Linked DNA regions of Macaca mulatta. The protein of the gene in region 1 interacts with the protein of each later gene in a pairwise test. Links are inferred from orthologs where the notes say so. Each region holds a gene or a part of one and is shown in the gene's direction. Other genes may lie near its edges. The genes, in order: LONRF1, BYSL and TRIM42.

The links.
Region 2: the proteins of LONRF1 (region 1) and BYSL interact in binary tests that used the Homo sapiens proteins (3 or more experiments, as listed by UniProt). The two-hybrid records come from large-scale screens. The link is inferred for Macaca mulatta from reciprocal best matches to the Homo sapiens genes LONRF1 and BYSL.
Region 3: the proteins of LONRF1 (region 1) and TRIM42 interact in binary tests that used the Homo sapiens proteins (3 or more experiments, as listed by UniProt). The two-hybrid records come from large-scale screens. The link is inferred for Macaca mulatta from reciprocal best matches to the Homo sapiens genes LONRF1 and TRIM42.

What each region holds. Positions count from the first base shown.
Region 1 is NC_133413.1:13,058,398-13,062,152, reverse strand, and holds the start of LONRF1 (LON peptidase N-terminal domain and RING finger protein 1), read left to right. Parts: upstream 1-1,422; 5' UTR 1,423-1,507; coding exon 1,508-2,228; intron 2,229-3,755.
Region 2 is NC_133409.1:140,241,153-140,243,527, reverse strand, and holds part of BYSL (bystin), read left to right. Parts: intron 1-231; coding exon 232-365; intron 366-1,009; coding exon 1,010-1,170; intron 1,171-1,341; coding exon 1,342-1,444; intron 1,445-1,983; coding exon 1,984-2,332; 3' UTR 2,333-2,375. UniProt on the Homo sapiens protein: Required for processing of 20S pre-rRNA precursor and biogenesis of 40S ribosomal subunits. May be required for trophinin-dependent regulation of cell adhesion during implantation of human embryos.
Region 3 is NC_133407.1:43,695,752-43,699,406, forward strand, and holds part of TRIM42 (tripartite motif-containing protein 42), read left to right. Parts: coding exon 1-308; intron 309-2,696; coding exon 2,697-2,921; intron 2,922-3,655.

The sequences.
Region 1 (3,755 bases):
TGAACTTGTTTCTGTCTGCATCCTGTTGGAACAGGAGGCTTGGCTTTTTCTCAAGCACCTCTTTTTTATTCATTCCCTTTAGGGTAATATATCTCTATCTTTTCTGACGTTACACGACTTGCTCATTGTGTAGTGAAAACACATTAACTCAAAACATTTTTTAGCCTTAATTGCCGTTCCTTATAAAGAGAAATATTAAACTTATACCATTTTCAGACATACTATGCTCAGGTGAACTTTCCAATTAGCAACTTCCTTTACTTTGACAATCTATTTCTATGAAATATTACTATTATTTTATTAAATATTATATATGATCAGTCTAACGTAGTAACATAATAGTGGAATAGACGTGATCTTAAAATCTATATTAGCTGTGTGATTTTTGACAAATAACTTTCCCTCTGTTTCCCATCATTTGAAAAAGGACTAAAAGTTCTAAGTGACTCCTAACATTAACAATCTAATACCCTATAATCAAATCTATAAATATTTTCAGCGGAGAGCTTTAAACTTGCCGCTGTGAAGTTTAAGGGAAATAGCACCTATTATATATCAACCCCATCATTTTCTTCTGTTGGCAAAACTGCAGACCCTGCTTGGGTTGTAGTAATACGGTGACCGCCACGTGAACAACATTTTTCTCGGTGTTTTCTTTTAAATATGCCAACTATAGACTTTAACCAGCTGTAAGGCAGTGCCTGAGGTGTGGAGACACCTGAGGAACTGTGTGGGCTTTCTCCCTCGAGGTGGGCCTACGATGAGTTTTAAGCAAAGGGCAGCAGTCACCTGGCACCAGGAAAAACTCCTTGCCCTCTGGAGGGAGTCGCCCCAGGAACGTGGGTTTTGTGTTCCTGTTTCAAGTTGAGTCCTCTAGAACCGAAGAGTCCCAGTCATCTGCCGAAGGTGCCCTCCCAGGCCCCCTGCTTGGGAGCGCCCACCTGGAACCTGGGCATAGAGGAATGAAAATGCAGACCCGCACAAGCGTGAGGACACGCCGGGAGACCCCCGCCCGCCAGGAGTTGGGGCAGGTCCGGCTTGGGCGGGGGCGTCGGGGGAGGGGTGGTGACCCTGAGTCCCGCGCGGCAAGGGCGCGGGCCACCGCAGGTGGGGGCGTCGGCGAGCAGGCAAGCGGGGACGGAGACTCTGGGCTCCATCGGGCTTTGTTCCGTCACGAGCCGAGCCCTCCTTTCCGGAGAAGCCAATTAGATCTCCGACGGAGGAATCATCCGACCTGCGCCCCCGCCGGGAGGGGGCTCGGGAGGGGCGGGGCCCAGCGCTTGGCTCCTCGCGAGCGCGGCCGCGGGCTGCGTGGGGGAGTCCCGGCGCCGTCGCCGAGCCCGGCCCCGCCCTCGCCAGGCCCCGCCCTCGGGGCTTCCCGGGCGCGCGCCGCCCCGCCGTGTCCGCGCGCCACGCCCCCCTGCTCGCGGGCCGCGTGCGGAGCCGCGCGCCCGGGAGGCTCCCGGACCGTGGCGGCGGGCGGCGGCAGCGCAGCCCTCCGCGGGCCATGTCCTCTCCGGCGGTGGCGAGGAGTTCCCCGGGAGGGAGTCGGGAGATGGCCCCGGCGCCGCAGGGCCGAGGCCGGTTCTGGGAAGTGGGCGGCGGCAGCGGCCTTCGGCTGGAGCGCGCGGCCGCGGAGTCGGAGCGCTGGGAACTGCTGCTCCGCCGCGGGGAGCTGCTGGCGCTGGGCGGCCACCTGAAGGGCGCGCTGGAGGCGTTCGCGGCGGCGCTGCGCCGCGGGGCCCCGGCCAGGCCCGAGTGCCTGGGCGCCCTGGTGGACTGCCTGGTGTTCAACTACCGGCTCCGCCACGGGCTGAGCTGGAGCGCGGCCCCGGCTGCGGGCGCGGACGGCGGCGCCTGCGGGCTCCTCAGATGCCTGGGCTGCCGGGGCTTCCTGAGCGAGCCGGTGACCGTGCCCTGTGGCCACAGCTACTGCCGCCGCTGCCTGCGGAGGGAACTCCGCGCCCGCTGCCGCCTCTGCCGGGACCGGCTGCCGCCCGCCACCGCCAGTGCCACTGATGCTGAAGGGACCGCCCCGCGGCCGCCGCCTCTGGCAGCCGCCATCGCCGCCTCAGACTTCAGAACCAGCGTCGTCCTCAACCACCTGGCCGAGAAGTGGTTCCCGGGCCAGCGCGAGCGGGCCCGGGCGGCTGGCAGACTCGGGGAGCTGCTACACCAGGGGCGCTACCGGGAGGCCCTGGCCGCCGCCTGCGAGGCGCTGCGAGCAGGTGACCGCGCGGGGATGCGGCGGGGCCGGGCCGACCGCACCCTCCTGGCCCCGAGGGCCGGGGACCCGGAGCTTGTCTGCGTCCCGGGAGTCTCCTCTGCTTCCCCGGGGCCGCTGGGCCACTGGCGTGTTGGGTCTCGGGGTGCTGGGGGGTGTGGGAGGGGGCGGCGCCCCGGGGTGCTTCGGTCACAATGGGGATCGCCCTGGGAGCCGACTGTGACGCAGCGCGGGGAGGGGCGCTCGGCGCGGGGTTCCCTCGGCCGCGGCCTGGCCGTCGGGCGCGCGCTCCGGGCGCGGAGTGGGTGACCGGAGCCGTGGGTGCCCCGGCGCGGGATGGGTGGGAGCTGGGCTATCCCGAGCGGCCGCTCGCTTCCTGCCGCGCGCTTTCCGGGAATTGACTCTCTCGCGCCAGGCCCGCCGCGGGGAAACGACTGCCGGGGTGGGGAGAGAATCCCCCACGAGGACAACTAGGCCGGGAAGGCGGCGTCTCCCTTCCTCACCCACAAAAGTCACCGGGACAATTGGGAGCCGCGGGAGGGCAGAATTGCATAAGCTGGGGGCGGGGGTCGTTGTGTAACGGGTGACGTCCGGTGGGCGTGGCGGGAGCTCCGGGCGGGCACCCGGCCCCGGGAGGCCCCGCAGGCCGCCGGGCTTGGGGCGCGGGGCGGAGCTGCCCCGGGTGGTCCCTTGCTACCTGGAAATGCCTGAACTGGTTTCTCTCGAAAGTTTCAGCCGGCCTGTTTCAGATCATGCTTATTTCCTATGTACTTTGCAGTGCACCTAGCTTATGGTAAAGATGAGAGGGGCTTCCTGATCCAGAGTTCTTTGCCACGCTTCTCTTGGCCGTTCCACTTAGGATCAAGCTGTGGGGAAAGGCCTTGTAGGTCTTGAGTGCATTTCTTAGTCTCCAAGAAGCAGCCTCGGCCTCCTAACCTAGGTTAGCTAGCACTTTCTTCTTAAGGTGGTTTTAGGCGCTGAAAGGGGGCAGTGTCAAGCTTCTCTTATGTAAAAGGAAGAGTTGTTCTTTAAATCAGTAGTTCTTTACCAGCAGGATTTACCTCCCCTCTCTCAGGGGACATTATCTAGAGCAATATCTGGAGACATTTTTGGTTGCCACCTCTTGTGGGGGTGGTGCTGGTACCGACATCTAGTGGGAGAGGCCCGGGGTGCTGCTCAGACATCCTATGAGGCACAGCAGGATTCCCACAACAAAGAATTATCAGGCCCCAAGTGCCACTGTTGATAAACCTTGTGTTACGCGTATTTCAAGATTTTAGTGTCTATCCATTGGCATGATAGTTGGGGGAATGGCATGATAGTTGGGGGATAGTTGGGGGAATAATCCCCAAGAAAATAGACATCTAGAATAGCAGCTGACTTTAGGTATTACAGGTAAATTTATAGACTGTGTAACTGAAAGGATCATCTTTCGGGTCATCTTTTGTCCCAAGTGCTTAGTCATATTGAACTTACGTCAAGATCTTGCATTGTTTAATATCTTCAGAGTTCGAAGCACAAACACCGGAGA
Region 2 (2,375 bases), on another chromosome or scaffold:
GTGTGTGGTTTCAGATTCCTGCTCTGCCTGTAAATGACTTGGCAACCTTGGGTCAGTTACTGGAACTCTCACTGGTCATCTGTAAAACGAGCATAATAATGGCACCTCCTTAAAGGGTTATTGTGGGGATGAAATGAGTTAATATATTAAAAGCACCCAGACAAGTTCCTAGCCCACAGCAAGCTTGCCATATGTGGATGACAATGATTGTTTTACCTCCCTCATCCCTAGGTATTATCTAAGTACCGCAGTGGAAAACTGCCTAAGGCATTTAAGATCATCCCTGCACTCTCCAACTGGGAACAAATCCTCTACGTCACAGAGCCTGAGGCCTGGACTGCAGCCGCCATGTACCAAGCCACCAGGTAGAGTAGATGGGGATTTGCAGGCCTTGGGTCTATAGGTGCAGGCTGGGCTTGGGACGGACAGGCTTTCCTTGCCTCTGGCCCCAGGGCCCTCTCTGCTACTTTATAGCATCATTTTTCTAGCTTTTCCTGTGTCATTTTTTGGGGCCAAGACCCAGTTAGCCAGTTAGGAACCCTCTGTGATGAATTTCTAGGGGAAGAGGCTTTTATAGCCACTGGGATACAGCCCTCCATGATCAATTTCTAGGGGAGAGGCTTTTATAGCCACTGGATACAACCCTGTAGCAGGACCCTCAGAAGTCTGTGACTGTCCAGACATGCTCAGGGCCCTAGTGATAGCAAAATTGAGAGAAGCCATGATAGCAAGAGGAAGGAGAGTAGCTGCGTAGCCATCAGTTTGCACAAGCTCTGGCTCTCCCACAGACAGACGGCACTCCTCATTTGGATATATCTCATTGCCCCTCCTATTCTCTCTCTAAGCTGATGGGTGTTGCATGCACACAGCTCCCACACATCCCTCACTGAAAGAAAGGTCCCATATTTTACTTGAAAACCTCTTGTATGCACTATCCATGGTGATATTTAATGGGCCGGGTCCAGACTGTCGTGTGACTTGGAAACTTCCCCGACTTAACTCCCACTAGGATTTTTGCCTCTAACCTGAAGGAACGCATGGCCCAGCGCTTCTACAACCTTGTCCTGCTCCCGCGAGTACGAGATGACATTGCTGAATACAAACGACTCAACTTCCATCTCTATATGGCTCTCAAGAAGGCCCTTTTCAAACCTGGAGCCTGGTTCAAAGGTGGGATCCCAGAGGCAGGGAAGAAAGTGAAGGGCTGGAGCTTCTATGGGGAACACAGCAGGCCTGATGTGGGAAATTGCTAGCTGTCCCTGGGCTGGGTGGGAATGCTTCCTACTGTAACTCCTTTTTCTCATCCTGGGCTCATAGTGACTGCCCTTTGACTCTCCCCAGGGGTCCTGATTCCACTGTGCGAGTCTGGCACTTGCACCCTCCGGGAAGCCATCATTGTGGGTAGCATCATCACCAAGTGCTCCATCCCTGTGTTGCACTCCAGGTAGCGTTGCTGGGGGTGGAGCGGCGGGGTGGGGGCTGGTCAGTGGATATCCAGATAGTGGAATTGCCAGGACTTGGGGATGGGTAGAGTGGAGAAGAAGCTAAGGATAGTCTTGGGTTTGTGCTTATTTAAGCCAATGAGTAGGTGTATCATTATCCCCCTAAATGTAAGTTCTGCAACAACAGGGCCCGAGTGCCTGGTATAAAGAAAGTACTCAGTAAATAGATGAACAAATGAGTAGGAAACACAGGAAGAAAGTAGTTAGGGTGGAGACGTTGAGATGTTTGGACCATACTCTAGTTGGGTACTGAAACAAGCAGTCTATGCTGGAGGTAGAGATTTGGGTGGATCCCTGTAGAGATGGTGACTCAAGTCAAGCAAGTATAATACGATTGGGTAGGTGAGAAGGTCCCTGGGGAATACCATAGTGTAAGGGCCAGCAGAGGGGAAGAAAAAAGGGGGAAAGCACAGAGGGAGAAGTAGGATCCTTCTTCCAATGTTTTCCCCGCTAACTCTACCCCACCTCCCTTTCCCACTAGCGCGGCCATGCTGAAAATTGCTGAGATGGAATACAGTGGTGCCAACAGCATCTTCCTGCGACTGCTGCTGGATAAGAAGTATGCACTGCCTTACCGGGTGCTGGATGCCCTAGTCTTCCACTTCCTGGGGTTCCGGACAGAGAAGCGTGAACTGCCTGTGCTCTGGCACCAGTGCCTCCTGACTTTGGTCCAGCGCTACAAGGCCGACTTGGCCACAGACCAGAAAGAGGCCCTCTTAGAACTGCTCCGGCTGCAGCCCCATCCACAGCTATCCCCCGAAATCAGGCGTGAGCTTCAGAGCGCAGTCCCCCGAGATGTGGAAGATGTTCCCATCACCATGGACAACTGAGAAAACAGTCAGTTGTCCTGGCCAAAGGGGTTTGGAAGGACAC
Region 3 (3,655 bases), on another chromosome or scaffold:
GGAAGGTCACTTTCAGCACCCACAGCCTCGGCAACCAGCAGATATACCAGCGAAGCTCCTCCATCTTATCCTTCAGCAACACTGAGGAGAAGGCCAAGGTGGGTCTGGAGGCCTGTGGGAGAGCCCAGTCAGCCACCCCCGCCAAACCCACAGATGGTCTCTACACCTACTGGTGTGCTGGAGCAGACAGCCAGTCTGTACAGAACAGCAGCAGCTTCCACAACTGGTACTCATTCAACGATGGCTCTGTGAAGACCCCGGGCCCAATTGTTATCTACCAGACTCTGGTGTACCCAAGAGCTGCCAAGGTAAGAAAAGTTCTGGGCCCAGTGGGGAAGGTGGGAGGGTTTGGGGTACAGAGTAGAAGTCAGTAGTCAGGAAAAGTTGCACTTGTCTCTTTGACCTCTAGGATCTGGTCACTCAAATCTGCTCCTCTAGACTCTTTGTGGTCATCCCATTCAAAAGGGATAAGTTCCGGGAATCTTAAGTAACCCAAGATTAGCTTAAACCAAACGGTCAATATATTTAACTTACAGTCGTAAATATATCTGAAAGCCCTACCTCCACTGCAAAGGCAACTTCTCAACTGAAAGAGAACCCTATTTGGGAACCAAAGTAATTTGAAGACACTACTTGGCAGTGTAATGTTTCCCAAAGGAAAGCCTGTAATAGAGACAGCACAGAAATTGGAGTTACAAATGCAGGCTCCATTACCTACCAGCTGTTTCCTCTAAATTGCTACCTTTCCTAAAGCAAATATCCAGACTCTCTATGATTTGGAAAAATTGGGAGGATCATCCCCAATGAAATTTCAACTCTTCTGAGATTCAACCCGCCTTGAAGGCAGAGAGTGAAGAGTGAGGTCTCTCACAGATCTCTATAAGTGCCATTGCCTGGCTTCAAGGAACATGACTTCCCTTTGACCCTCTTGACCTAACATGAACAACATGAACAAATGACCTTTTCTTTAACATACCTTTCAAATCTAGTTGAACCCACATTGAATTGTTTGTAGAACACTTTATTAAGGTTTATGGAGGAAAAAAATTAACGTGCAATGAAATATTCTATTTGAGTTCCTCTTTCCTCCTCTTGGATTTTTTTCTAGAGTCAGCCCATGTCCTGCTCCCACGTGGCAGAGTTCATCTTTTGTCTCTCATAATCTGAGAACACTCCCAAAGACTTTTAGATCCTTGAGTTCTAAACTAGCAGTTCTCAAACATCGATGTGCACCTGGGGATCTTGTTAAAATGCAGATTCTATTTTAATAGGTTTCAATGGGGCCTGAGATTCAGGTTATCACAAACTTCCAGGTGCTGCCAATGCTGCTGTCTACAGCCCACACTTTATTATTAAGGATCTAAAAAATGAAGGCCAGACACAGACCAAGCTCTACTTTTCCATTCTCCTGACACATCATAATCTATGTTTTGTTGTCTATAACTGACACAAAGAACAACCCATACTTTGCAAGATAGAACATTCCATGGGCTATTGACATAATGAAGTGTTTCTGCCCTTCACATAAGCAATGCCCATAACTGAGCAGCTGAACTACATTTCCAAATGATACTAGATCAGCAAGGCCTATAGTGTATGCTTATTACCTCAGGGATAGCACTGGGTCTCATCTCCTGACCAACTCAGACCTCTTAAGAAGTTGGCAGGCTCTTGCTATGGAGCCAGAGAATTGGTAGTATCTGCTCTATACCTGGGCATGGAAAACAGTCACCCCATGCCACCTATTAGTCACCCCTGATGAGCTCAAAAAAGGGACCTATGCAAAACAACTCAGTCAAGTCATTTGCTGTCAAAAGAGGACACCTAAACCTATTTCCAGATAGTGATATTTGATTTTAAAATATCATTGATTCATATTTTAGGATAATGGAATGGACTTCATACAGGAATCATAGTGCTTAGCAATGCAGAAGATTAAGTCTATGTTAACATCACTCTCAAATCTTTAGGATTTTAGCATGGAAAATATTCTAAAACTTAATGTTGTAACTTTTCAATATGTACAGTTAATATCCTAGAGATTTTTTAAACTCAATTTTAGTTCTAGGAATCTCTTCCAAGAAAATTCTTAAAAATTCAGACAAATATTTATGCCCAACAGTATTTATTACAGCATTTATTTATTAGAGTATAAAATTAGAAACAACCTAAATGTTCAACCATAGAAGGATTAAATTATTTCGGGAGAAATTTTAAAGATGGTAGTTTACTGAATTTTTAATGATTTAGGAAAACATACAACATAAGTAAAAGAAAATAGAAATCAAAGCAACATAATCCAAGTTATATACATATATGTTTGTGTGTGTGTGTGTTCTGAAATTGCAAAGAAATAATAATGAATTAACTGAATTGTGAGATTACGAGTGATGTTTATTTTCTTCCCCTCTATTTTTCAGTATTTTTCAAGCAGGAGGACAATTGTCACCTCCACGTTGGCTGACAGTAACAGTCACAAACCTTCTGTTTGTGAAACTCATCACAAGCATCATGCCAGGCCTCATCACACAGCCTTTCAAGACTTATGCATAGTCTAATTAAAAGTCTTCGGCAGCTACAGGGGATAGGGTCAGCTTAAACTCACCCCACAGATAGTCAACATCACAAATCTTTAATGGAAAGAAAACTGAATGATGTATACCAGTACCACACCAGTATGTTCATTTCTTCCATAGGTTTACTGGACATGTCCAACAGAAGACGTGGACTCTTTTGAGATGGAATTCTATGAAGTCATTACTTCCCCTCCTAACAACGTACAAATGGAGCTCTGCGGACAAATTCGGGACATAATGCAGCAGAATCTGGAGCTGCACAACCTGACCCCCAACACAGAATACGTGTTTAAAGTTAGAGCCATCAATGATAATGGTCCTGGGCAATGGAGTGATATCTGCAAGGTACTGTGTACATTATTTCTCCGATTTTTTTTTTCTATGATAGGTTCTGGATGAGACCCTGTTAAGATGATCATGAGATTATAGAACTCACCATGGGACTCTTCCTCTAAGCACAGAACATTTGTTAACTTGAGGCCAAAGAGAGGGCTGCTGGCCTCAACCAGACTTCGCAGATGAAGCCTGAGAATTGTTCTATTTGATTCAAAAACATTTGTTCTAGGCATTGTGTAGAGATGTAGAGATTCAGAGGAAAATAAACATAATCCCTGCCTTCAAGGTGCTCAGGGTCCATAAAAAAATAAGTGTTGTGTGAGAAGGATATGAAATGATTGTGGTATGAGAAAGATAAAAATGAGGTGCTATTCTCAGGCAAGGATGGGGTGCCAGATTTAACAAATAAAAATATAGGATGCCCAATTAAATTTGAATTTCTGGCACACAATAATTTTTATAAAATATGTCCAGTGCAATATTTAGGACCTATTTATACTAAAAACAATTGTTCATCTGAAAGTTGAGAAACTGCCACTAAGCAGGTCAGTGTGGGTTCCAAAAAAGAAAAGACAAAATTATTCCTATCTTCTTTGTGATCCAAGACTGATTCTTCTTTATATCTCCAGGGAATACACATTCATGAATATAATTTTACTGATATTAAAAGGAGAAAGAGAATAAAAATACCAAGACTGCCCAGAGCTGCTCTCTTACCATATAACCATAAGGATGTTCTTTGG